Mus musculus: one gene and its partners. The protein of the gene in region 4 interacts with the protein of the main gene of each other region in a biochemical or structural test. Links are inferred from orthologs where the notes say so. Each region holds a gene or a part of one and is shown on either strand. Other genes may lie near its edges. The genes, in order: Map3k1, Map3k14, Nfkbib, Chuk, Nfkb1, Cops5 and Bcl10.

Evidence for each region.
Region 1: of the proteins of Chuk (region 4) and Map3k1, one has a biochemical effect on the other in vitro, tested with the Homo sapiens proteins (3 studies listed by BioGRID). The link is inferred for Mus musculus from reciprocal best matches to the Homo sapiens genes CHUK and MAP3K1.
Region 2: of the proteins of Chuk (region 4) and Map3k14, one has a biochemical effect on the other in vitro, tested with the Homo sapiens proteins (5 studies listed by BioGRID and IntAct, with this or other methods). The link is inferred for Mus musculus from reciprocal best matches to the Homo sapiens genes CHUK and MAP3K14.
Region 3: of the proteins of Chuk (region 4) and Nfkbib, one has a biochemical effect on the other in vitro, tested with the Homo sapiens proteins (2 studies listed by BioGRID). The link is inferred for Mus musculus from reciprocal best matches to the Homo sapiens genes CHUK and NFKBIB.
Region 5: of the proteins of Chuk (region 4) and Nfkb1, one has a biochemical effect on the other in vitro, tested with the Homo sapiens proteins (3 studies listed by BioGRID and IntAct). The link is inferred for Mus musculus from reciprocal best matches to the Homo sapiens genes CHUK and NFKB1.
Region 6: of the proteins of Chuk (region 4) and Cops5, one has a biochemical effect on the other in vitro, tested with the Homo sapiens proteins (2 studies listed by BioGRID). The link is inferred for Mus musculus from reciprocal best matches to the Homo sapiens genes CHUK and COPS5.
Region 7: the proteins of Chuk (region 4) and Bcl10 form a complex in vitro, tested with the Homo sapiens proteins (2 studies listed by BioGRID, with this or other methods). The link is inferred for Mus musculus from reciprocal best matches to the Homo sapiens genes CHUK and BCL10.

What each region holds. Positions count from the first base shown.
Region 1 is NC_000079.6:111,806,194-111,810,384, reverse strand, and holds the start of Map3k1 (mitogen-activated protein kinase kinase kinase 1), read left to right. Parts: upstream 1-1,391; 5' UTR 1,392-1,415; coding exon 1,416-1,882; intron 1,883-2,319; exon of another isoform or gene 2,320-4,191. UniProt on the Homo sapiens protein: Component of a protein kinase signal transduction cascade. Activates the ERK and JNK kinase pathways by phosphorylation of MAP2K1 and MAP2K4. May phosphorylate the MAPK8/JNK1 kinase.
Region 2 is NC_000077.6:103,239,902-103,243,401, forward strand, and holds part of Map3k14 (mitogen-activated protein kinase kinase kinase 14), read right to left. Parts: intron 2,489-3,500; 5' UTR 2,470-2,488; coding exon 2,214-2,469; intron 1,206-2,213; coding exon 1,136-1,205; intron 1-1,135.
Region 3 is NC_000073.6:28,763,845-28,768,011, forward strand, and holds the start of Nfkbib (NF-kappa-B inhibitor beta), read right to left. Parts: upstream 2,801-4,167; 5' UTR 2,579-2,800; coding exon 2,400-2,578; intron 1-2,399. Other genes in the region: Sirt2 (NAD-dependent protein deacetylase sirtuin-2), read left to right, coding at 3,008-3,023, 3,788-3,834. UniProt on the Homo sapiens protein: Inhibits NF-kappa-B by complexing with and trapping it in the cytoplasm.
Region 4 is NC_000085.6:44,079,978-44,083,477, forward strand, and holds part of Chuk (inhibitor of nuclear factor kappa-B kinase subunit alpha), read right to left. Parts: intron 2,719-3,500; coding exon 2,609-2,718; intron 2,019-2,608; coding exon 1,969-2,018; intron 1-1,968.
Region 5 is NC_000069.6:135,594,048-135,597,547, reverse strand, and holds part of Nfkb1 (nuclear factor NF-kappa-B p105 subunit), read left to right. Parts: intron 1-2,481; coding exon 2,482-2,683; intron 2,684-3,169; coding exon 3,170-3,339; intron 3,340-3,500.
Region 6 is NC_000067.6:10,035,339-10,039,617, reverse strand, and holds the start of Cops5 (COP9 signalosome complex subunit 5), read left to right. Parts: upstream 1-1,479; 5' UTR 1,480-1,607; coding exon of another isoform or gene 1,608-1,699; 5' UTR 1,700-1,805; coding exon 1,806-1,948; exon of another isoform or gene 1,949-1,956; intron 1,957-4,279. Other genes in the region: Cspp1 (centrosome and spindle pole associated protein 1), read right to left, coding at 1,274-1,479. UniProt on the Homo sapiens protein: Probable protease subunit of the COP9 signalosome complex (CSN), a complex involved in various cellular and developmental processes.
Region 7 is NC_000069.6:145,927,262-145,930,761, reverse strand, and holds part of Bcl10 (B-cell lymphoma/leukemia 10), read right to left. Parts: intron 357-3,500; coding exon 68-356; intron 1-67. UniProt on the Homo sapiens protein: Plays a key role in both adaptive and innate immune signaling by bridging CARD domain-containing proteins to immune activation.

The DNA of each region.
Region 1 (4,191 bases), on a different chromosome or scaffold from region 4:
TGTACCTTTTAATGTAACCATTGAGAACTGTAGCGTGCCAGATGTTATAGCAGTAAGTATAACACCGAGCTCAAGCTGAAGTCAGGATCCCTTTTTAAAAATCCCTTTTGCCTCACCTTGCTCTCTGGCTGACATTACACACCTAAGGAGGGCTTCATTTGATCTACTTTGGAGAGGTTAAATGAATTATTTTGAGCTAGTTCAGGCTTTTGTCTAAATGCTGGAGAGATCTTTCCTTTCTCTGTAAGATGAAAACCCTTCTTACCCCTCCCCCCACGCCTCATGTCTTAATGTTTCACAAAATAAATCTAGAAATCCTGGGTTCTGAGAGATTGTCTATTCTAGACAAAGTGGCTAGGGGAAAAAAAAGTGGCAGAGGCGGGTGAGATAGGGACGACAAGGCAGCTTTATCCCGTTGAAAAAGGGTCGAAGGGGGGAAATCCCATATACGTATACTGCTTTTCTATCTCCAGCACATTTTCTAGACTCTGGGGCAGGAGAAAGGCGAGGGACGCCGCACAGGGCAACCAGGGAGCGGCGGCGGGAGGGAGGTGGGGGACCCGGGAACCGGCCTGTCACCTGACTGCCAGGAAGAGGGACGTGCAGCTGGGAGCATCTGTTGGGGGTGGGGAGAGACCTGGTAGAAGATGGCATGATCCAGCGCTTCCTGGCATAGCGCTGGCTCCTTCCCCAGACGTGCTCTCCCGCTTTCGGTTGGAGCCTGCCTTTCCAAGACGGGGGAGTAACCTCTGGCAGAGTACCCGGGTTGGTCCCTCTGCGTAGCCGGGGGAGTGGGGGGGAGGGTGTCCCAAACCAGCAGCTTCAGAGGTGCACAAGGTAGCGCAAGAAATCTTAAGTAGTGTTATTTGTGACACGAGGGCGGGACAAGAGGTCTGCTTTCCTAAGAGAAGGCTTCGCGTCCGCCCGTCTGCGGCAGGCGACAGTCCCGGGGCGCCACCTGCGCTTCGGGCGCGGGCCGGGCCGGTGCGCGCGGGGGCCCCCCCAGCAACCGCTACTAAACGCGTGAAGTGACAGACCGTGAGTCCTCCGGCTTGCGTCCCCTTCCAGAACCAGGGACTCACGCTCGGATTACTGCTTGCTCAAGGGTGGGCGAGCTCCCGCCGAGCCGCTGCCCCGCCCGGTCTCGCACTACCTGGCGGCGGCCTGGTTGCAGCGCACAACGCCCGGCGCCCGGTTCCCCGCATTGCCCCTGCCCTCCCACCTGCGCCGCGCGCCCGCCCGCCGCTCCGCGCTCCCGGGCCCCGGCCGGGAGGCGCGGCCCCGCTCGCGCCCGCGCCCGCGCCCTCGGCAGCAGCGCGCGCCCGCCCACCCGCCCGCCGCTCCGCCCGCCCCCCGCGCTCTCCCCGCCCCCTCCCTCCCCCGCAGGCACGAGCGAATGTAGCCCGCGAGAGAAAATGGCGGCGGCGGCGGGCGATCGCGCCTCGTCGTCGGGATTCCCGGGCGCCGCGGCGGCGAGTCCCGAGGCGGGCGGCGGCGGCGGAGGAGGAGGAGCTCTCCAGGGAAGCGGCGCGCCCGCAGCGGGCGCGGCGGGGCTGCTGCGGGAGCCTGGCAGCGCGGGCCGCGAGCGCGCGGACTGGCGGCGGCGGCAGCTGCGCAAAGTGCGGAGTGTGGAGCTGGACCAGCTGCCGGAGCAGCCGCTCTTCCTCGCCGCCGCCTCGCCGCCCTGCCCATCTACTTCCCCGTCGCCGGAGCCCGCGGACGCGGCTGCAGGAGCGAGTCGCTTCCAGCCCGCGGCGGGACCGCCACCCCCGGGAGCGGCGAGTCGCTGCGGCTCCCACTCTGCCGAGCTGGCGGCCGCGCGGGACAGCGGCGCCCGGAGCCCCGCGGGGGCCGAGCCGCCCTCTGCAGCGGCCCCCTCCGGGTGAGCGGCGGGCCGGGGCCGGGCGGGCAATGAATGAAGCGAGCGGGGCGCGCTGCTCCCGGGGCTCCGCTCGTTGGGGGTGGGGGGGGAGCCCGCGTCCCCGAGCCCTGAAGGTCGGGCGGCGCCCGGGACGGCGTGGGGACGGGACGGGAACGTGCGGGAGAGTTTGTTATTGTTTGCGGACATGTGACAGGCGTGGAAGCCGCGAAGGTGCGGGGCTCCCCGGGCCGGGTCCTGAGAGCCCCCGCGGCGCGAAGTGAGTTTGGGGGGCTCGGAGCGCGAAGGTGACGGCGGTGGGTCTGCGCGCTGTGACAGCCTAGAGCCCCTCGGCCCCACGGGGACGCGCGCCCGCGGGCAGGTACCGGGCCGGGCTCCGGCGGCGCGCCCCGGGCGGCCGGGGGATTCCGGGGACTGCGGGGGGGGGGGGCGCCTGTCAAAGCGACGCAGGCGGACGCTGCGGGCTCGCGGGGCGGCCGGGTCTGCGGGGACTCCGTGGCTGCCCTCGCTGCGTGTCCTTGGGAATTCCTCCCGCACCTCGGGGGCTAGAGCGCCCGGTGCTGGGAGTTTGAATCCGGCTTTGAAGTTAGCTTTTGGCGGAATGCTGTGGGATCCAGGACCGGATGTGTCAGCCATTCAGCTTCAAAGCTGTGGGGACTGCGCCCCGCAGCCCCGCTGCGTGGCGGGGACAGGGACGGTGCGGGGCTGCCGCTTTGCTCGCAGGGGTCTTCCGGTGCACCAGAAGTAGGATGTGCGTAAGATAGTTTACACCAACGGCTCTTTGGCCTCGCCCTGTTTTGGCTACTGGAAAGTTTTCTGTTAGAGGAAATTCTTTTAAGTATATGATACTTAAAAAAAAAATCTGATGAAAATACACAAAAGCATAAAATCTTGATGGATGTGTGAAGTTGCTGGATATGTTTTCGTCATCGTCACCCTGTGGCCCCCCGTAGAATTTCTTGACGTTTACTGTGGGTGGAGAGTGTTTTATTGTGTGTCGAATCTGACAGTAGGAATCCTTGGTTTCGGTTAGTTATCTAAGTAATTTGACCCCCTTTTGTGCTCTGGATTGTTTAAAATCACGGTCCGTTTATTACTTGGAGGTCGTTTTCCCTCCTCCCAACCCCCAAGCCCAGTAGTAAAAAGTGTGTTGACCCCTGGCTGTGGCAGGATTGGGAGGAAGGTAGGCAGTAAGCAGCCCCGATGCAGCTTTTCTGTGTGTGTGCCCTGTGTGCACTTGTACACGTATCTTCCTCTAGGGTTTCCTGTTTCTGTGCAGATTAGATTAAAACTAACCAGAATAATTCTTAGGTGGCAACTCTTACTACAGATCAACTACAGATGAAAGAAAAAACAGTAACTCAAACTTTGAGGAATTAATTTTATCTAGTCCTGTGAGACCTGATTTTTTTTTCTATATGATAATACAGTTGGCCACACTTAAGCATTTATAAAGTCAATATAACCACCTATGAATATACCATGAGCAGCAACTGCAAAAATGACATATAGAACTTTAGTGTTGCCTCTAGAAATCAGAGGACCAAGGTGAGGGCAGGTAGAATTGAATACCTGAGTAATCTGCTTGATTTTTGCGCATTCTTCTCTCTCTCTCTTTATCTCTTTAAGCAGTGGCTTATAATTGTAAAAGCTGTCTTTAAAATAAATACTGCTAGCTAGAATTCTGTTGGTGCACCTCAAATGTTATATGTGATAGTTTCATTTGCTGTAAAATATCGATTGTCAATCCTTTTGAAATAATACTAACACCCCCCCCCCCCACACACACACACACCCCGCCTCCAGTTTTTGTAACTGGTTTGAAATTCATTTCAAATCTGCGGGTCTAAAACTTATATCATGAAGAAGGGGTTATCCAGAAATGTTGTTGTGTTTTGGGTTTCCTGTTGTGATGTTTTATTATTTTCTCATTTAAAATCTCGGGGAAATGATTATACGGCATGTAGAATCTCAGTTGAACAATGTGGTTCCCTTTTCAAGTAGCGCACGTTCATGCTTTGAAGAGGAAGATCTAATGCTGATATTTTCGGTTTGTTTTCAGTAGTAGTAGAGAGCCAAAGACCCCTCTGCATGTCTAAAGACCTAACGTATTTTTCTTTTGTTTTTTTTTTTTGTTTGTTTGTTTTTTGTTTTTTTTAATCCAGTTTCTAAACGTTGGATGTAGAAATTGAATGTTTAGAAAATACACATTTATAAAAAGATAAGCTATGGGAAATTCATTAAAGTCAAAGATTGCATGTATGTCTGCCCTCTCTCCTTCAGTAAAATAACTCAAGCCAGTGAAAGTTTGT
Region 2 (3,500 bases), on a different chromosome or scaffold from region 4:
AAGCCGGCTCTGTCACTGCAGTCACGCATGCTTAATGACAGGGGACGCGTGCGGGGAAGCGCGGTGTCAGGTGAGTCTGCCTGTGCATCACAGAGTATACTAGCGCAAACTCGGACAGCTGTATACCAAGAGCTGCTGTGAGCCTATGGGACTGCTACTGTGTATGTGGCCCACTGTTGACCAAAACACTGGTCTGTTGTACCTCTGTACTTAGTGTGGGCTAGTTCCTACCCACACCCCCCCACCAGGAATACCAAATTTTTTCATTTATGAAAGTATTTATACCACACTGAGGTGGTGATGAGGTCGAAACGGGAGCAGTTCATAAGCCTTAGCACCTGGCTGCTCAGCAGGTTGCCCTATAAAGTGCTTGCACAGCCTGGGGTGGACCCTCAGTCCTTCTCCAGGTGCCAGCCCTCTTGGGGCAGGCATCTTAGCTCTGACAGGGCAGAGTTTCTGTTATCTCTCCCCTTAGCCCTTAGACGTATCTAATTGCCATGGGAACATGAGACGCTGACAAATAGACTCCCTTTCTGGCTGGTGTAGCTACCAAGGATCTGCCAGGCTCCCACCCATGTTAGTTATTATGGGAACTTGTTTCAGGCAAGGGTCTGAAGGAGGTGCTGTGAAAACAGCCATCGGCTCTGACCACGGCCACAGCCACAGCCCTTCCTGGGATGCTGGGAGCCTCCAGACTTCTCTCCAGCAGCCAAAAGAAGAGTTCATCCTCAGGGTCAAGAGATGCCTGAAACTACACAAGGAATTGCCTAGACCGTAAGGAGGACAGAAGCTCCCACCCTGACCCCTAGGGGTGTCTTCCCTAAAGGATGGTGAAAGTAGCCCCTCTGGACTGTGCTCATGGCTATATACAAGTTCAGAGTCACTACTGTTCCCAGAACCCTCCCTGCTGAGGGGAAAGCAGAGGTGTCTCAAGGACTCAGGGTAGAGTAAAAATAAAATGTCAAGTTTGACGGAGCCAGGGGCAGCTTCTGAAACGCTGACTTGGCTGCGAGTGGCTGGGCCAGGAAAGCTGGGTGGCTGCCAGGAGCAGAGCCCAGGTGCTGAAGCAGGGGGCCAGAGGCCTGGTGGGCGTGGCCTGGGCTCCCTTCTTCCCAGCTCCAGTTGGCTTCCTTACCTGTACTGCTGTGACCCCGCGATGAAAATGCGCTCTGAGAAGGTGGGGCTGAACTCTTGGCTATTCTCACCTGTGATCCAGGGAAAAGGGTCAGATTAGCAGGGATAGGAACAAAGACAAAGCATTTAGGAGAGAGCGTTTTACAGACAGGGCCCCAGTGGCCACTTCCTTTCCCTGTCATATTCCTCTGTCTGGTGGCTCACCTCCCCGCCACAATCTTCTCTCACTGTTGGGGCTACCCTGTGCCCCAGCTTACCAGTGACGCCTCCTAGAACACCCACATGCCACAGGGCACACAGTTGCCCCCTTGATAAACAAGCTGGCACGTATTTCTGTTTACACGCATGTCACTGTATGTGCACTCAGCTCATTTGAGCTCATTTTCAGTGTTCTTTCCTGGTTAGGAAAAGCCTCGGGAAGTGAGGCAGAGGTTGCATATACATGGAGAGAGATGCCAGGTTCTCTGGGTTCTAGCCCAAGACACCTGGACTGGAAGATGGTACTGATAGAGGGAAGGGGGCTCTGGTGCTACTGAGCCCCCCCCCCCCCGCCCCAAGGAGTTCTTGTTTCCCAGGCAGCCATCAATATCTACCATCTGGAGGCAATAGGAGTAGAAGTGGAGAAAGCCAGGCTTGGCCTCCTGCTGAGGCTAGCAGCTCAGAGACTGGCACAGCAGGCATAAGAACAGGGTAAGGGTCTGTAGGCCAGAGGAGCTTTCTAGGAGACTTGGCCTTTCCTGTCTGAGCCTCTCTGCAGGCTACCGTTCAATGCTCAGTGGAAGGTTAAGGGCCAGCTTGATGATCTTGTAGAGTCCTTAAGCAATCCTGACTCTTGGCTGCTCCCTGTTTGGGTCACAGTGGCACAGCCTCTATTTGCTCTGGCCTCCATGATCCACCCTAGCATATTTACAGCTCCTAAGTGGGTGGCTAGACCCTCAATTGTGTCTGGGAGATGCTTCTAGAACAGTCACTCTGACCTTGCTCTCCATGGGGACTCCCAGGCTGGCCTCTTGTGCCCAGCCACCCATCTGTGAGCCCACTCATTTGCCACTGTATCCATAGCAACCCCAGGTCCTTACATTCAGCCTGGGCGATGATGGAGATGGCCGGTGGTCCTCCCTCAGAGCCGTCCTTGGCTGTGCCTTTGGTGATCACGTCGTTTAGGATCTCCCACTTCCCACAGAACACGGGGCTCTTCTCCACGGCCTCAAGCTTGAAGATGCAGCTCTGCTTCTTCCCCAGTGACTGTGTCTTCTCCTTGGCTTTGGCAAGCTCCTTCTGCTGCCCGACTGCTGACCCAGGAGTGCCCGGGCAGGCCACTTCCATCACGGCCATCTCCCAGGCTCGTGCTCACCTTGACGGGCCAAACACAGACTTGGTCAAGTCCCAGGCCCTATGTAGTCAGCATAGATTAAGCATGCTTGGAGGGGAAATGAGTGCTTGCCTGCGTGTGTGTGTGTGTGTGTGTGTGTGTGTGTGTGTGGTGTGTGTGTGGTGCATGTGTGTGTGTGTGTGGTGCATGTGTGTGGTGCATGTGTGTGTGTGTGTGTGTGTGTGTGTGTGTGTGTATGGGGGTCACGTGAGAGGTTCTTGGCTCTTTCTGTCTAGTGTTCTCATCCTCTAGACACCCTGAGTGGTAGGGAAGCCAACCTTGAAACATTTATCACAAACATTCCATTTGTGGGAACCTTGCTCTACTGGCACTGTAGTATAAATGGATGCCTCTGGGGGCTGGAGAGGTGGCTCAGTGATGAAAAGCACTGCTACTTTTCCAGAGGACCCAGGTTCAATTCCCAGAACCCACATGGTGGCTCACAACTGTCTGTAACTCCAGTTCCAGGGGACCCTTACACATATATACACGAAGGCAAGACACCAGTGCACATAAAATAAGTCATTTTTTAAAAGAAAGGATTCCTCTGCTGGGCTTTCAGAGAGACAGGAGTTATTTTCTTCAGAGTGTAGCCACTGGTAAATTGCCCGTGCTCCAGTAAATAACCTCACATCCATACTCATGCAAATGACCCTAGTTAAACTCAATGTAATACACGCACACACGTGTGCACACACACTGCCAGGCAAGTAGGAAGGGTGTGGGGAGGGGAATGAGAGGGAGATAAGAGGAGACAGATGGCTCAGCAGTTAGGGCACTGGCTGCTTATGCAGAGGACATGGATTTGGTTCCTTGTATCCACGCAGCCATCTATAACTCCAGTTCCAGAGATCCAATGCCCTCTTCTGCCCTCCATGGGTACTGCACACATGTGCTGCACATCATATATAAAGGAAAACCGTTTTAAACAACTTTAAATAATTTAAATTACACATTTTAAATAATTTTAAATTATTATTATATGTTTTTTGGC
Region 3 (4,167 bases), on a different chromosome or scaffold from region 4:
TGTTGCTGCCGGGCAGTGGTGGCGCACGCCTTTAATCCCAGCACTTGGGAGGCAGAGGCAGGCGGATTTCTGAGTTCGAGGCCAGCCTGGTCTACAAAGTGAGTTCCAGGACAGCCAGGGCCATACAGAAAAACCCTGTCTCAAAAAAACAAAAAACACTTGTTGCTCTTGCAGAAGACCCCGGTTTGATTTTCAGCACCTACATTGTGGCTCATAGCCATCCCTAACTCCAGTTCCAGGGGATCCAACATTTATACACATAAAGTAAAATTATTTGGGAAGCAGGGGCAGACATATCTCTGAGTTCAACGTCAGTCTGCTCTACATAGAGAATTCCAGGACAGCCAAGGCTACACAGAGAAACCCAATCTCAAAAAACCAAAAATAAATAAAATAAACCAAAGAAAAATTTCATAATGTGTAGACAGAATCTCTTATAGGCAACACCTGTCAATAAAAAAGCAAACGGCCAATGAGCTGAAGCAGGAAATAGGAGGTGGGACACTGGCAGGAAAAGAAAGGATTCTGGGAAATAGTGAGAGAATAAAAGGAGACACAGGGAGAGACACTGGAGGAGTCACTGAGAGAGACACCGAGAAAGACGATGCTAAGGAAGAAGCAGGCCCGAGACTGAAGGAAAACATAGAATGATTTAAATGGGTTAAATAAGTTATGTGTTAGCTATGGAATGGGCCAAAGCTTGTAGCCAAGGCATTTATTAATAAATAGTTAATGCCAGAGTCCTTATTGTTGGGAATTAAGTGGCCGGAAGAAAAAAAAAAAAGGATTCATTTTTTTTTACAGTAGTGTTCAAGGCTAGCCTGGGCTACATAGTGAGACACTGACTTAAAAGGGGGGTGGGGTTGGAGGCTGGGAAATGTTTTGCTAAGTAAAGCACAGTGACCTTAGTTTAGAACCCACATAAGAAAAAGCTGGGTGTGATTGTAAGTATTTATAGTCCCAACACTAGGGAGGAGAACCCTGGAATGGAGCACAGTGGTGCGCGCCTTTGATCCCAGCACTCCGGAGGCAGAGGCAGGTGGATGAGTTTGAGGCCAGCTTGGTTTACATAGTGAGTTCCAGGCCAGCCACCCTGTCTCAAAGAGGAAGAGGAGGGTAGAGAGCAAGAGATGACCGCTGAGGCTCTCAGGCCAGCTAGTCTAGCCTACGTGCTCAGTGCAGCCCAAGGTTGCCCTCTAGTCCACACACACACACACACACACACACTCCCCAGGCGGGATGTAGTGATACCCACTTGGGAGCTGAAAGCAGGAGAATGAAATGTTCAAAGCTATCCTCAGCTACAAAGTAACCTCAAGGCTAGCCTGGGCTACATGAGACCGTCAAACACAAACAATCGAGAAAGGAAGGGGGAGGATAAAGAAAGCACAAAAACCAGACCCAAAGTAACCAGAGGGAAATAATAAAGGAACAGGAACCAACAAAGTAGAAAGTGAAAACTAAGGCAACTACTCCTGGCTCTTTAAGATGAGTGTTTGTTGGGTTCCCCTCATGGGTCAGGCACTGAGTCACTGGGCATACGCAATAAGCACAAAGGACAAGAAAATCCCGGGTACAATCCCTTAATGCACGCCGTCACCACAACCATCCCTTCTCCCCAGCTTATCTACTAATCAACATTTCCTACTCTTTAACCTTTTTTCAGTCACCCTCTCCTCCTTTTCCTCTTCCCTCCTTTTTGATACTGGGTCCTTCCAGGCTGTCCTCGGACTAGTGATCCTCCTGCCTCAGCCCCTCGAGTGCCAGAATGACAAGTGTGTACCATCACACTCAGCTAAACTAAAACCAGGGATTGGAAGGTGGTAGTTTGGGAGAAGCATTTGGCTAACAGATGAATCTAGCCTCATAGAATAGAGTTTCTACATCTTATGTAGCTCTGGCTGGCAGGGAACTCAATCAGGTGGCCTCAAATTCACAGAGATCCACCTGCCTTTGCCTTCCAAGTGCTGTGAGAGCCATGACACCCACCAGCTCAATTTCTTAACTGCAGGGTCAATACTGGACGTGTCAGCTTCAGAGACTCAGGGCCAAGAACTAGTTTTGAAATCAAAATCTGGCTTATACAAGAATAGCCAAAGACCAAAGACTACATCTGGAAGTAAGAGGTAAGAAGATGTGGGAACTAGAGTGGTCGGAAAGGTTCAGATCCGATTTGGGGATCAGGAGCTCAAATTTATAGAGTTCAAAAAAGGTGAGACACTTGACTGTGTGAAAGCGTACCAGTCTCACAATTTAGTGTTTGGGGGTTAAGGGCCAGGAAGTCCAGCATCGGAAATCAAGAGTTAGGAACGAGACGATACGAAGTCACAGGAATCGTAGGCTAAAGGGGACTCAGGTAAGATCCCAGGGCTCAGTCTAGTAATTTAAGGTTTACTCACGTGTCCCCATCCTCAGTGACGTAGCCAAAGACTAAGGGCGCCCACGACAGCTCTGGGCCAAGCTCTGCGCCCAGACCTGGTCCTCCGGGAGCCGCTGCGTCGGGACCTAGAGAGCCCAGGCCGCTGTCGCACCATTCATCGGCATCCGCAGTTTTCCCCAAGCACGCGACCCCGGCCATGGCCCCAGCCACCTCGGGTGGCCCCCTGTGGTCGCCTGCCTGTCGCTGGGCTCTGCGATGAGCTCCAGTGCTTCCGCCCTATCGGGAATTCCCCAACACGCCCCCTCATATACCCAATCAAAATGTTTTAAATAGCTACACCCCGCCCCTGTACTGCACCACAGCCAATCAGAAAAATGAGGTGGACATTCGCTCGCTGAGTTTCCCCACATTTTCCAGACGCCCTTTATCAATATGGCCGCCGGCGCCAGGCTTTTTGGGATTTGTAGTTTGATAACATGAGAGGCACATTGTACGAAAGCGGTTATGGGGATCGCATTGCCTGCCGGGAGTTGTAGTTCTCTATCCTATCTCGGCCTCTTCTTGTTTCCGCTGCCGTCACGGGACAGAGCAGTCGGTGACAGTCCCGAGGGCCCCCACCCCGTTCCCATGGCCGAGCCGGACCGTGAGTTAGGGGCCCTGTTGGGAGGGTGGGAGGGTCGGGCCGCGCCGGGGCCTGGCTTTGGGCTGCAGGCCCCGGGGCCCGAGGGTAGGCTCGGTGGGGCGGGAGACAGGATCTACCTGAAGGGAGTGGGATTCGGAGGGGTGTTGCTAAGTGGTCCGTATTACTAGGTTGGTTGGTTTCTGGATTGTGAAATGTAAGGGTCCGATTGTCAAGTTCTTAATGATCGCATTTCTCGTACTTTGGCTGCTGAGGACCCTCGTTGCTAAGGACCAAAGTTACCACTATCCCGGTTGCTAAGGTTGTCTGTTGTTAAGGGCAACTGTAGGATGGGTTCCGGGGACCCCTGTGGCCCCTTACTATCTCATTCCTTCAGTTCTTGTGCCTCTCCTAAACCTCCTACCTTCACTGCATCTCCTCTCCCACACTCAACTCTCAGCAGAAGTATCCCTACTTACGTCTCTTGAAAAACTTAGCCCTCCCTCATTCTCTCGACTCGCACATGCTACCATATCCTGCTTAACTCTGAAACCTTCCTTCAGTCCAGTCTCGCCTGCTTTCTCCTCCTAAAGATTCCCCTCCTCAGCCTTTTCACGTCACACATACCTCCACTCTAAAATATGCCTTTTCCCATCTCCGATAGTTTTACTACCATCCCTGACTCTGAAATAATTAGGTTGGTGGGTCCTCTTGTCCTCCACCATTGTGAGCCCTTCTGCTTAACTCTTTCCCCGCACTGTAACCACGTCTGCTCCCCTCCTCCCCAGCCTCTGACCCTCTGGAGACCCAGGCAGGGAAGGTGCAGGAGGCTCAGGTGAGATGGGGAAGGGGTGGAGGGAAGGAGAGACTTGGTTCCACGTGCCGCACTGGGGGGAGGTGGCAAGGGAAGGCTTTTACCCAAGGGCCCTTGGCTTATGGCCCTGATCCCCAAGCCCATCTGGGGATTAGTACAATCTCCTGGGAGAATGGTGGCTTCTTGGGACTGTCAAGGAAAATGTATAGCCTCAACCCCTGGTTCCCTTCCATATCGTCCTCGTTTCCTACTGTTGCCCATCCCATCCTCAGCCCCTTCTGAACCTCATTTGTGCTGGACCTGAAAGAGACGGTTTTCCAGTTCAATCCGCAAACTCAGATCCTATGAGGTGGG
Region 4 (3,500 bases):
TCATGCTAATCCATCTGTTTACAGCTCAGAAAAAAAGCTGACATAAACCAAATGTGAAGTACTAATAAAAAGGATCAGTAGACACCTCAAGTTCAGCTTTGAGTTTCAAAAGAGATTTGAGAAGGTTGTAGGACTGGAGCTCAGAGGAAGATCAGTGCCTGCCAGGCATACACAGGCTCTGGATCCCCAGTACTGCAAGAGGCGGTGGGGGAGAGAAAAGAAAGAAGAAGAAAAAAAATCTGTCCTTTCTTAATTATTCCAGAAACCTCCTCCGCAGCTCAGCTTCATTCCCAGAATATTTCTCTCTCTACTCTCTCTCTCTCTCTCTCTCTCTCTACACACACACACACACACACACACACACACACACACACTCTCTCTCTCTCTGAACAGACATAAGGTTCAGAACACCCACATGGCCACCTGTAACTCCAGGTCCAGTTATCCAACACTCTCTTCTGGCCTCCGTGGGCACTGTACACATATGGTGCACTGATACACATACAGGTCAAACCATCCACACACAGAAAATAAAAATATAATGTCAACAAAACAAAACACCCAGTGTACGCATGCTGTTTTTTAAAAAATAATATAAATATTATATAAAGTTGCTATATGTCTATAATTTTCAAATCTAAAACTTGAAAATTTTATATAAGTAATATAAAACTTTTAAAATAAAAAGTATATTCCAAGCTGGACAGTAGTGGTGCATGCCTTTAATCCCAGCACTTGGGAGGCAGAGGCAGGAGGATTTCTGAGTTTGAGGCCAGCTTGGTCTACAGAGTGAGTTCCAGGACAGCCAGAGCTACACAGAGAAACCCTGTCTCGAAAAATAAAAAATAAAAAATAAAAAAATATATTCCAGAGCACAGATATCCCTTATTACTTATGTAATCCTTCAAAATAAATACATTTAATTAAAATAAAGGTATATCACCTTATTGTTTTCAAAGCATTTTCATAAACATGTTCTCAAAAAATACACTGCCAAAGTGTAATGAGTTAGAAGGCTAGGTTCTTACTTGTTTTGCACAACAGGGGACTAGAAATATGGAGATGTACTGGAGATTAGTCAGTAAAATACCCAATTTAGAATTCAAGGCTTCTGCTTTCCAACCTACATTCCTCCTAACAACCGTGCTCTGTATTTGGCAGTGTGCAGTATGAATTGTTCCCTAAGGACATGAGCAGTGACCAGTGCTGGTGAAGGCAAGGCTTTTCAGGACAAACTGCTTCTGGATAGACTATGGCTTCTCTTCCCATCCCACCCAGAACCCACTATGTTGAATTCTTTCCAAGCTCTCTAGGTTATTTTTCCCCAACCGTTACACCCTTTTATTGCTGTGTGTGTGTGTGTGTGTGTGTGTGTGTGTGTGTGTTGGGGGTGAGGAGGGTGGGGGTGCTGGTGCTATTTCTTCCCTTTTGTTGGGGAGAGAGTATGCAGAGGCTCAAGGTCACCGTCACGATCATCCTTGACAGATCTCACCTCACTTGTTGATAGGGTATCTCTCTGAATCTTAAGCTTGCTGTTTCAGCTAGACTGGCTGGCCACTGAGTGCCAGGAACCCATCTGTCCTTGCTCTCCCAGTACTGCTGGGACCACAGGGGTGTGCTGCCATGCATGTGTTTATGTGAGTGCTGGGAATCTAGACTTGGGTTTATCAGAGCAAGCACTTTACTCATTGATCCAACGCTAAATTCCCTTTTTTTTCTTTTTCTTTTTTTCTTCTCTACTTTCTTTTCACTTCACTTTTAAAACTTTTCTACTTCAATATCCTTATTACTTTCCTCTTCTAATCTTTTAAGTTTTTATAAATTTAAAGCTATTATGCCACAAATGTTGCAAAAAGAATACCAAAACAGGATCATACTATGAAGTTAAAAAACATTAAAATTTACCCACTTTGTTCAGTTAGGGTGTTTCCTAAACCACCTTTCAATACTGTGACTGAAGTGTCTTACCAGGAGGTCTGTGCTTTAGCTGCTTATAGAGATCAATGGCACGCTGCTCCCTACAAAAAAGAAAAACAAACACCTTTCTGTATGTGCAAGTAACTTAATGATTAATAATACACAACTTGAATAAAAAATCATGGCTTGTGATCAGAGAGAAAAATCTGAAGTTTCTAGTTAGATGTTTAGGAAATTAGCCTCAACAGAGGAGTTAGGAGATTATCCCTTAGACCAAAAGGGAAGAAAATGGGGAATCATTTGTAATTTAAATATACATTAAACACACACGCAGAGGAGATAACAATCCAGAGAGTTATTTCCCAAACTCCCTATGACTAAGAAAGAGCTTCCTTTTAAGATATTCTAAGGGCTGGAGACACGGCTCAGAAGGTAAAGGTGCTTGAACCTGAGTTCAATTCCTGGGCCCACCATGGTAGGAGGGGAGAACTATCACCCCACCTTCTGTCCTTTGATCTCTACATGTACAATGTGATGTGTTCCATGTCACCTCTTCCCAACAAAATAATTGAATGTTTTTAAGAAAATCATATCATAGGAATATATTAGAGGTAAGAAAAACCCAGATATACGTAGGAAGGACAAACAAAGTATTCTAAAATCAAGACCAATAGCACAGACACATTCTTACAGAGACTCCATCAAGTCTCCCTGGCGTCGTCCATAGGGGCTCTTCTGCAGCTCCATGATTTCAGTGTGCAAAGACATAATTTGATCCTCAAGATAACCAATGACACCAACCTAAAATATGACACAAACCAAGACAATGACAGGCTCACTACCACATAGAACAAGGTAGAACATAAGCTGTTGTAGCAGTAGAACTGAATATTTTACTACAACAAGGTAATTGTGTTAAAGCTAATTGTCTGTTTATTTAATGAGACAGCTGTATTATATAGGCTAGACTAGTCTTGAACCTGTAATTCTCCTGTCTTGCTTTCCTGAGTGCTGGGATTACAGTGTAAAGCACACTAGACTGGTTAAAGCTATTTAAATAATAATCAACTAAAAATTTGAGAAATTTATAGGTATATATAATGTATTTTGATATTTACTCCCACTATTCCCCCTAACTCCTCACAGATCTACCCCTCTAGCCCCTCCCAACTTCATGTCTTTTTTTTTTTTAAATAATCCACAGGGTCCAATATGCGATGATCATATATACACTAAAGAATGTGAGGCCATGCAGTGGTAGTGCACACCTTTAATCCCAGCACTCGGGAGGCAGAGGCAGGCGGATTTCTGAGTTTGAGGCCAGCCTGGTCTACAGAGTGAGTTCTAGGACAGCCAGGGCTACACAGAGAAACCCTGTCTTGAAAAACCGAAAAAAAAAAAAAAAAAGAATGTGAGGCCACACAACAGGACATAGTCAAACTACTAGGGACCACATCCTTAAAGAAAACTGACTCTCCTTCCCATAACTGCTAATTGCTCCTCAGCCATGGTGGGGGTTTATCACGCTTTTGACAGTCTTTCATATAAAAATGCCTTATGCTAGGTGCAACGGTGACACCCTT
Region 5 (3,500 bases), on a different chromosome or scaffold from region 4:
ACAGCAAGTTCTGGGCCAGCCTCAAACACAGGAAGACCCTCTCTCAAACAAAACAAAGCAAAACAACTCCACAAAGCCAAACAAAGAAACCCAAAAGTTATGAGAATCACAAACGCTGCCTGTCTATGTCCTTGAGGCTAAGAAGCTGGTATGGCAGGGAATGTTTGTGCCCATTAACTGAGTGAAGCCAAGGTGGGAAAAACTGGGGAGAAAGGTCTGAGGGCTCCAAATCAGAGCAGCTTTGCCTTGAGCTCAGGGGAGAGGTTCCATCCACAAAGAGCTGGGTCGCACACAATAGAGCCTGCTTCCGCAGATCCTATCACCAACAGCCAGCAGGGCTTCCTGAATCCAACCTCCAGCAGCCGAGGGAAGCAGGTTTTGCAAAGAGGATTGGGAAGTAGCAACTTCCTCTTCTTCAGTTTATTCTTATACTTGTGATGGTTAAAAATGCAATCTGCCACTTGTCTGCTATGAGGTAGCCTGGGTGCAGGGGTGATGCCTTCCTCCACCTCGCCTCTCACTACCTGTGCAGGCAGTCAGGAGAGCTGGCCTGGGGTCATGCAAGGGGGTGAGCTAGCCCTGTCCTTCACAGGCTTTCGAGAGCAGGCCTTGCATCTAGCCTGTGCTGCAGAGTAGAGAGGACCCTCGTGGAGGGAGCACAGTGAGCAGCCCTGAGGGTGTGAGAGCAGGAGAACTGGCCCTGCCCCTCACTCACAGGCTGTAGTGTATGGGAGAGTGGGTCCTGCCCTTTGGGCAGCACAGTGGAGCCAGCTCTGGAGGCATAGGGAGATCCGACAGCTCCCTATTTCCAGATGTGACTGTTGCATGTATACAGGAAGAGTGCTCTTCCAGTGTTGGCTACAGACAGCTGCTCTGGGAAGACATGTATTCTTTAGTGTGCTCACATGCACTCCACACGGTTTTATACATACATTTCCTATCCCACATCAGCCTTTCCCTTTAAGTTTCGATTTAAAATACTTTCTCAATTCATAATTTTTGCAAAATTCAACTGAGAGGACCTGTATATTTCCTGAGATTGAACCAGACGCTTACCTCCTAAGTTCCCCCAGCAGTTACATCCTACTTAACACAATAATACAATTAGGAATTGCAACAGATTCTAATCAGATCTCAATATTTGTATGTACTCATATGCATGGATAGCTCTGTAAGATTTTTTTTTTCCTAAGCTGAACATGGTGGTATTGTGTTTTAGTTCCTGTTATTCAGGTAGCTAAGGCAGGAAGAGTCCTTGAATATAGATGTTCCAATGTAGCCTGGGCAGAAAGCAAGACTGTTTCTAAGCAGAGTGAATGAATGAATGAATGAATGGTCAATCCATGTGCTTGTGGATGTGTATGTAGCATTGTACTGTGTCCCTGTCTTGGGTCTTCACGCTGTTTATCCTTTAGTTTCATAGACAGCTGGTTTGTTCTCATTGCTCCTGAAGAGAATGCTGTCATGTCCCCTAACTAGCTGCTCACTGTCCACAGGCTGTGCACTGCAGTGAGCACCTGCACTGTACCCATGGGTGCCACAAGTGGGTTTCAAGGGCAGTGTGAGCCCTGAGCTCCACAGATGGATTCTAGGGATTCCTTGAGGCACGCATTTTATGCGTGTGTAAAATGTAACCCTTGGGTGTTGGTGGCCCACCAGCCACTGCTTCCCAGCAGGAAGAACTCCCTGAATGGGAGGTCGGGCAAGTCCTCACTACACAGCCTGGGCTTCAGTGTAAAGCGCCTACAACACAGACTGGCTGGCATTGAGAGTTGGTGCTACTCTCTACCAGTGATCTCAGCTTTTTGACAGACACTTTTGTGATTGGGTTAGCCCCACTTGTTTCTGAAAACAGTTTTCCATGCGTCCTACTTACAACCATGGAAGCACAGCTTTGAGGTCAGGGTAGTCAGAAAGACCTCCCAGAGCCTATTATGCACAGTGCCTGGGATTGTTTTCTGCCTGAACTTTCTTAGGGAGAGTGCTGTATTGGCTAACTATGCCCTGAGGATCTGGTAGCACCTGTGATAGTATTACAGTGGAGCTTGTATCTGTGCGTCTCTTGAAGCCAGCCTGCAGCAGTGTGTTCTGGTTTAGCCTATGTACTTCCAGACCATTGTGGAAGGATGACATCTTTCTTGATTGCTTTCTTTTAATAGTCTATTTATGTTTTGTTGTTAAAAACACAGCATTGGTTCGATTTGCAAATGTATAGAATTACCAGCTATAGATAGATACCTATCAGAAATTCAGAGAAATTAAATTTTCTTCTACAAGAGTTAAAAAAAATCATGTAGCAAACGTATCCCATAACCCCGACTGTTGAATGCTGGTTCTCTCCGTGGGCCTTTGAGCCTGGCATGCAGAACAGGAAGCTCCTTGAGTGACAAATGTCCCTACAGTATGACTCCATAACGTAGCCTGAAGCCAGGGGCTACAGACATCCCTAAGCAATGGCTCTCCCTCTCCTTCTCTGTGTAGACACCTCTGCACTTGGCCGTGATCACCAAGCAGGAAGATGTAGTAGAGGATTTGCTGAGGGTTGGGGCTGACCTGAGCCTTCTGGACCGCTGGGGCAACTCTGTCCTGCACCTAGCTGCCAAAGAAGGACACGACAGAATCCTCAGCATCCTGCTCAAGAGCAGAAAAGCAGCGCCCCTTATCGACCACCCCAATGGGGAAGGTAAGAGCAGTCGCCTTGCTGGCTAACCGTCCCCTCTCGGCTGCAGCATAAGGGCTTGGCATTTGACAAATGCATCTGACATGACTTTCACCATGAATACTCTCCTCAGCCAGCTGGAGTTTGTCATATCTTGTGGTTATTTCTGCTGTTTATTACAGCAAACGCCCTTAAAGAGTATTTGTGAGTATTGCTTAGTAAGTGGAAAAGCAAGCCCGAGCAAACATTAGTCTTTATAAAGCATCGTGTGTGTGTGTGTGTGTGTGTGTGTGTGTGTGTGTGTGTGTGGAGAACGTTTACATAGTAGCTCAGTGTCTCCCGAGAACACAGTGGGAGCTTGTGGCTTCTGAAAGTAGAACAGTGGACCGTCTGAGGCTTTGAAGCACGCCCTGAACAGAAACCGGAAGTGCTGCGACCTGGTGGTGTCCCTCCTCCCCGCAGCCCAGCTCTGTCAGTCTCACCCACATCTCTGCCTTTGTTCGGCCTTAGGTCTAAATGCCATCCACATAGCTGTGATGAGCAATAGCCTGCCATGTCTGCTGCTGCTGGTGGCTGCCGGGGCAGAAGTCAATGCTCAGGAGCAGAAGTCTGGGCGCACAGCGCTGCACCTGGCCGTGGAGTACGACAACATCTCCTTGGCTGGCTGCCTGCTTCTGGAGGTAAAGGCGTACTTGTGATCTTGACCTAAATCCCCCTGGAAGTTTTAGGGAAGTCTTTTCAAAGAATGACTCTAGGGCCAGCTCGCTGTCAGTATTCCACTGTCTGCTTTCTGCATCCCCAGCTCCAGCCCAGCTCTCAACCTGGGGATGCCAGTGACAGA
Region 6 (4,279 bases), on a different chromosome or scaffold from region 4:
AGGCTAAATCCCAGCCATCCAAGCCCAGGACGGTCTCCAGTCACGAAGTGTGGATGTGAGAGAAGGAATGTCCGCACCAGCAGTCTGGTCAACTCTCTGTCCTGGGCTTTCATTACCATTTCAACATGTTATTCTGTATGTTTCGAGTGGCTGTGTATTGTGACCACTGGAACAAGCTTACACAAGCTTCTCAGAAAGAACTTAAGATACTAATGTACTCTAATGTCCCTAGTGTGCCCGAAGTTATACTTTAAGAAGATTCTATTTTTATTTTTGGTTTCGTTATTTTGTCTCCAATAGTCCAGGGAGAAAGCGGGGTTGGAACTCTTGATTCTCCATTCTCCACCTCCCAAGTACTGGAATTAGAAGAATGTTGCAATGTCCTTGCTCTGTTTTGTTTGCCCAGCTCCTTGACTTTTTGAAACAGGGTCTCCTGCAGCCCAGGCAAAAGCACCTGCATTAGAAGAGGATACAGACGGGCAGTAGTGGTGCACGCCTTGAATCCCAGCACTCAAGCAGGCAGCTCTCGAGTTTGAGGCCAGCCTGGACTACATAGTTCCAGAACTGCAAAAACCCCGGGGTCCAGGTGAAGCAGCTACAGAGCCTTCGAATTCCTGTGAAGGAGCAGTTACTGACGAAGAGTTAAGGAAAGGCATCTCCGAGCTGTGCTTTTTAAAATCTGTGTGCTCTAAAGCAGAAATGTCAAGAAGTGCATTTCAAGCAATGCCTAACAACTAATATATTACTAAGCCAAGGAAAAAAGTTCTAATAGAATGAAAAACTGGGTTGGGGGAGCTAAAAGAAGATGATGAAGCTGGAGAAGTCTTTAAGAACCGTGTTACGAAAAAAATTAAATATATTAGAATTAAATAAAACACAAATTTCATGCATGCCTTCAACTTACAGTCTAGTGGGCAATTGGGGATGAGAATGTGAGGGAAGAAAACCTAAAAATACGACTGAAACAAATTTCACATTAACTGCTGGAAGGCACAGGTTGCGGAGATTAAATCTGCACTGAGACAAACCTTTTTTAAAAAGTAGCGCCTAAGGCATTCACCGCTCCTAACACTTGTATAAAATGTTACCCTATAAAGTCCCTAAAAAAGTTAATCTTAGCAACCGGTAACTTTTGCTTGCCACCTCGCAACAGTAGCGAAAACACAAAAGCGGAACGCCAACCACAAACCCCGGAGGCTTAACACACCGCAAATTATCTTAAAAGAGTCACGCGATCTTCCCCCTCCAAAACCAATAATCCGGAGATACTTACACCTCTGTTTCTCTAGAGATATTTAGTATTCCAAACAATTTATTTCGTTTGAAGCACCTACACTCACATAAACATAATTCCCCAAACTCAAGTTTCCTCCTACACACAATATGGTGGCATCTGAGTCTGCGCAGTACGAGCCGAGCCGGCCGACTCCTTCCTGGCAGGCCAATAGTCCCGCCTTCCGGCGCGAAAGGCTGTACCATTCCCACACCGAGGCTTTGCGTCCCTCGCAGTTCACACGAACGGATTTCCGAGCCAGCATGTTCTCGTTTCACCGGCAAGACTGATCTTAGCCGAGCCGAGCCGAGCCAACCCTAAGGAAGTGTTTTCTATGTCGCTGCGCCGCCGCCGCGCCCCAGCGCGCGAATGGTCTGGACCAACGTCACCTCCGGTCTCAAGTGTCATGGCTGCCTTGAGAGTCTAGTGAGTGTGCACCCTGGTGGGGAAGGTCCAAAGCCCGCACGCTGAGGCCCAGTAGAAGAAAGTTGCATCTTGATTGTGGAGCGACAGCTTCTCCGGTGCCTCGGCCATGGCAGCTTCCGGGAGTGGTATGGCCCAGAAAACCTGGGAATTGGCCAACAACATGCAGGAAGCGCAGAGTATCGATGAAATCTACAAATATGACAAAAAACAACAACAAGAAATCCTGGCGGCGAAACCCTGGACTAAGGAGTGAGGAGGTCCCTGGCGAGACGCAGGGGAGGGCAGGGATGGCGGGACTGTGAGAGACCCGCGAGGGGTGGGAGATGAAGGGTGTGGTGAGCTTGGCTTTCTGTGGGGCGTCGACCGAATATTGGCCACAGTGGCCTTAGTCTGCCTTGTCAGTAGAGCCTTACCTGTCCTCTAGGGCCTGCTTCGATTCCCCTTTTAGAAAGTTTCTTGCCTTCAGGGCGTGTAAAGGGCTGACTTGGGGTGCGACTTTTGTCAACATGATTATTTTTGTAAATCTCACACACTCTGCCTTGAACCTGGTGGCTACATGCAGTTAGTTGCAGCCTTCAGTAGATTCCCAAACTGAAGAGCGTGGCTGTTTTTATAAATCGAATGAGCAGAGCATTGATTTAAAAAAAAAAAAAAAATCCATGAGCTCTTGGATTGATTGGTTTGGTTTTTTTTCAGCTCTTTAGACACATACCAAATCCTCTTAGCAGTTCCCTACAATACTACTACAATTCATGTAAACCAGGAATTATAAGAGAGAGCTTAGAAGCATTTTCCCCAGCCAAATCCATGTATCTTTGGGATTGACGACAAGTCAAATGATTCTTTAGAGCAAATTGTATTAAGGAGAGTGAAGAAAAAAATTACAAAAGGTTGCTGAGTAGACTGTCTTGCTGTCTCCAGGTGTTTTGTTCTGATGGCACAGCTGGCTTTAACCGTCAGTACTCTGTTTTCAGTGTTTATTGAGTTCTTACTGTGGGCCTGGCACTGGCCTGAAGATTTTCGTGTCTTTTAATAATCTTGACAATCCAGGATTCTTTCCCTTTCTGTAAATAGAAAAATAAGCAAATACATTCAGAAACACACCTCATGGTCATACTATAGCAATGAGCTTAGGTTCAATAGACTGAAAATCAGGTCTCAATAACTGTCATTTAGACTGTTGACTGGCATTAGGAAACTAAAGTATCTAAACTTATCTATAAGATAAAGGTTAAACGTAGCTATTAATGATGTCATGAAGATGAGATAAGGTAATTTATTAAGAAGTTCTGGATGAGCCATATGTAATGAGAGCATAGTAATGGTTGTTTTTATCTTTTTCCCAAGTAGATGGAAAAGCCAGTTTTTTAATTTATATCTTGATTTCCAAGATGGTCTCAGTAACTTTGAGCTTGTGGTTGAAATCTAACAAAAGCTATATTTGGTTGCATGCATCCAGTGGGCCATGGCAACGCTGAGTGCCCCACACAGATTACTTAGCTGTTTCTAAAGCAAGCTGCGTGATTTAGGTGGATGTAAACTCAAGACTTCTTCACCATCTATGGCTATCCTAACATGTAGGGTATGTCAGGGATTTTAAACTGTTGTTCAAGAGTTTAATCACATACAATGGTTAGTCAAAGAAGTAAAGATACTAGATCACTCTCAAGATGCTATCAGAAGGAAGCCACAAGCTAACACACTTTTTTTGAGAATATCTTAAAACAGGTTAATAAGGCTGATAACAGTACCTTAGGTTTTAGTGTCTGTGGGACTAAGCACTTACTGTGTACTTTTCATACTAATAGGTGACATACCTATTTATAGATATGTGACATAGACATTAAGTGGCCCTACTCTCTCAGGTAGGGAGTGTCAGTGTAAGATTTTAGACCTAAGCAGGGCAATTTCAGAGGCAAACATTGTAGAAATTAAATCCTCTGGCTCTGTAGGTAATAATACTTGCTATCAAGCATGCAGACCTGAGTTCAAATCCCCAGCATCTATTGTAAAAATCCATGTGTGGATATGTGTGTGTGTAACCTTTTAGCATTGTATTGAAGGATGGCAGAGAAAAGGAAGTCTGTAAGCTGGTCAGTCAGCCAAAACAGTGAGCTTTCAGTAAGAGGCTCTCTCTGTCTCAAGGGGATGAAGTAATAAAATAGAGGAAAATGAGCTGGGCATGGTGACACCCACATTTAATCTCAGCAGAGGTGGGTGATCAAGTTCCAAGGTCAGCCTGGACTACTGGACAGCCAGGTTATACAGAAAAACGCAGTCTTAAAACAAAACAAAACAAAAGGTAGAGAAAGACCCCTGACAGTCCCTGTCATCTCCACATGCCATCTGGTGGCACACTAATAAACATGTACCACAGATAATAAATAAATAAATTACTTAATTAATAACTCAGTAAATTAAGGTCAGAAAGCTAGGCCTAAGAAGGTAATCAAGTATAATAATTCCATGATGATTGAGAAAAAAGGCCTGTGGACTTGATCATTACTCCCTCACCTCAGCAGTATATTAAAGTTTATCCCAGACTCTTTATTTTACCCAAGGGGCTGAGCTGTGACTGTG
Region 7 (3,500 bases), on a different chromosome or scaffold from region 4:
TGCTCTCCTCACTGTCTGCTCCCCCACCCACCACTCTCCTCGCTGTCTGCTCTCTCCCGCTGCTCACCTTTGAGGTGCTCCAGTTTTATATTCCGAAGCTTTAGCACCTCATCCGTTATCTTCTGAATCAGGAAGCTCTGTGTTTTCTCCCTGCGGATGGATTCCACCAGGGTGTCCAGGCCCCTGGGGTTCTCCTGTAAGTAGTCTAACAACTTCCCAGCCCGTTTTCTACTTGAAGTTCGGCAAGAAATTTCTTCTGTGTCTTCTCTACTTAGTATTTTTTTTGCACGTAGATGATCAAAATGTCTCTCAGCTATGATTTTCTCACACAGGTAAACACGTAAATTCTCTAAAGCCTAAGAGAAAAAAGAAGAAAGCTTCAATGTTACTCTGTAACACGGAGGAAAATCGCAGGTGACTGGTTAGTAATTACACATCTTAACTGGTATGAGACAACATTCTCAGGGAGGGAGGGAGGCCTGGGTCCTTTAAGTGCATGCTGAGAAAGATGATGCCCAGCAGCAGAAGCCAGTCCCACAGTCCTCAGAGCGCCCTGTTCTGCTTCACCTTCACCCCTGAAAACTAACACCCAGCTGCTGTGAGGAGGGACCTGCAGAGGGTCACCTAGGTCAGGAGTAAAGATTAAAAACACATGTCTGTAAATTGTAGTAACTATCAAGTAGAGAATTTCAGAATTAGGACCAGGACAACTTAGTGTGGAGTCTCACAATCTGCGGCTGTTTCATGTGTATTATTAATTAGTACATCACCTCAATGCGAAACCATTAGAACACACACAAAGCCCAAATCCTCCCAAGGGCCATATGTCTTTGCTTTGAGGCTAGTTAGAAAAATGATACAACTCACTGAGACAGTCCTGGAGGGAGGGAGGGAGGGAGGGAGGGAGGGAGGGAGGGAGGTAGGTAGGTCATTGCTGAGTCAGTCCTCGGGGAAGGAAGGGAGAAGAAAGGGAAGTACAGAGAGGAACAGAGAGAACCAAAGAGTTCTAAAAAAAACAAAACAAAACAAAACAAAACAAAAAAAAAACTAAGAAAAGGAAAGCTTAGCTCAGGCTAGTCTTAAGTATTTAACTTCATTAGTTTTAATTGAAACATAAAAAAGTGTACATATTAGTGAAGTACCATGTAATTAATTCTCAGGCATGCACTGTGTGCTGTTTAAATCAGGTCCACGTTTGTCTCAATAAGTGGTGACAATCTGATGCCAGTCATTGCATATTCGTGCCTGTATTTACTAGACATGGGATTTGAGGCAAATTAACTGTGTTTGCATCTTCATGTGATAGTTGAGAGGGATTATTAACATGCGCAGAGTGTTTAGAAACGGCACGGTGCGCCGTGACTGATCCCGTTAGGGCAATGATGGTGGTTAACCAGACTCACATTCATAGCGATGAGGTAAAGGCGGTGGGAGCTTCAGTAGAGCCACCTTAGTAACAATGCCTGCAAAGCTGTCCCTGTGAAGGCGTCTGACAGGTTTTTTTGTTTTTTTGAGACAGGGTTTCTCTGTGTAGCCCTGGCTGTCCTGGAACTCAGGCTGTAGACCAGGCTGGCCTCGAACTCAGAAATCCACCTGCCTCTGCCTCCGGAGTGCTGGGATTAAAGGCGTACGCTCAGTACCTTCCAAGTACCGCTCAGCGTCTGACAGGTTTTTGTCTACTGGATTTCCACACACATTTATTTATTTATACAGTAAACTTCGTATGTATAAATTTCTAGTGTGAATATGAAAAGATGAACAAGGTTTTAATACTGCATACAGAGGGCTCCTGGTTTAGCCGGGCAATAGACAGCACACACGGGCTGTCATCGGAAGACCATGTAAGTTATCAGAAGACCAGTCACCGTGACTTCAGCACCACTCTGGGCATGCATGGTCCGTAAAGCCTGCATGGACTGCTAACAGAAAAATAGCATTTTGTAATCCCCTCCTCTTTCTCAAATCTTTCATGCATCTATTAGATTTTACAATTTTCAAGAGAAAATAGAAATCTGAACCATTACATAAATTATACCAACACAGTGTCTGCTCATGATTTATTGGATAGTCCTGAACACAGCACAGTAGTTGAGAGCACTGGGCTAGAGAGATAGCTCAGTGGGTATGAGCACTTGTTCTTGCAGACTATATGAGTTTGCTTCCAAGTACCCACATGATGGCTCACAATACTCCACAACTCTAGTTCCAGAGGACCTGACACCATCTTCTGACCTTTGTAGACACCAGGAACACACATGGTATATATACACTCATGCAGTCAAAATACCAATATTTAAAAAAAAAAAATCTAAAAAGTCCTTAAGAACAGCATGGCTGTGCAATGAGTCAAACTTCTGCTAACCCTGAATCTGTAACATTCTGTGAGAACTGGTACAAACTGGTACCACTGGGCCTTCAGGATCTTGGCAAAATAAGGATAAAGAATTAAACCCATCTAGGAAGACTAATTGGGATAGTGTGCATGAAGGCTCAGCCCAGTTCCTTCTACAGTGGAGGCCCAATGACTAGTGACTACTGGGCCACAGCAGGCAAGCTCATGGCAGGCAAGCCCACAGCAGGCCACCTCTCCAGCTTGATTCAGCAGTACCCTATGGCAGGACTTCTGCTCCACTTACAATCGAGGACTAGCACTGTTTCATGCTGCTATGTGCCTGAGTTTTCCTTCTCATACCCTGAGCTCCCTTCATCTTTGAAGCTTGAGGTTGCTGGTCATCGCTGGGAAGCCGTACTTTAACATCCAGGATGAGCTGGCCACGCCTGTCTCGCAGCCCCAGCCTCTTCCATTGTTCATCACATTCCCCACTTCATCCCCAGGCGTTTCCACTGTGTCCCACGCTCTCCCCCAAGTCACCGAGGACCTCCTCTACTGACGGGTCCTTCCCACCTTCATCATATTTGGCTTCTGAGAGCAGGGTCACAGCTGATCACTCCTTCCTCCAGACACGTTCTCCTTGCTGAGCATACAGGGCACTGTCCTGATTGTTTCTGATCTCTATGAAACTTCTCTCTGTGCTTCCCATCCCGTTCTCAGATGATGAGGGCTGCAGCTCGAGAGCTTGGAGCTGGTTCTCATCTTTTCAACAGAATGCTTGTATTTCTAGTGCAGAAATCTCTTCTGATCTTCATTCTTACTCTTCCTTCAACTCCCATCCTGTCCACGTTCTTAGCATGCACCCCGAGCTTGTGTTCCATCCATGTCTACGGCCTTCACTTTGATCCATATCATCACTGCCTTTCAGTGTATCCAAGTCCTTCCATGCCCTTTCCCACTTTTCCTCATCTTCCTGGTCTACAGAAAAGGCAGGCAGATCTTTAAAAGTCAGACAAAACCCTATTAATTCGTTAGTATGACTCCTAAGAGAAAAAAGTGTTAAGACCTTCAAGAGTTTGCTTAGCCCACATCCCTAATTTCATTTTGTTACCATCTGCCATCCTTCAATATTCTGAACTTACAAAGGTCCTGACTTAGGTCCTTGTCA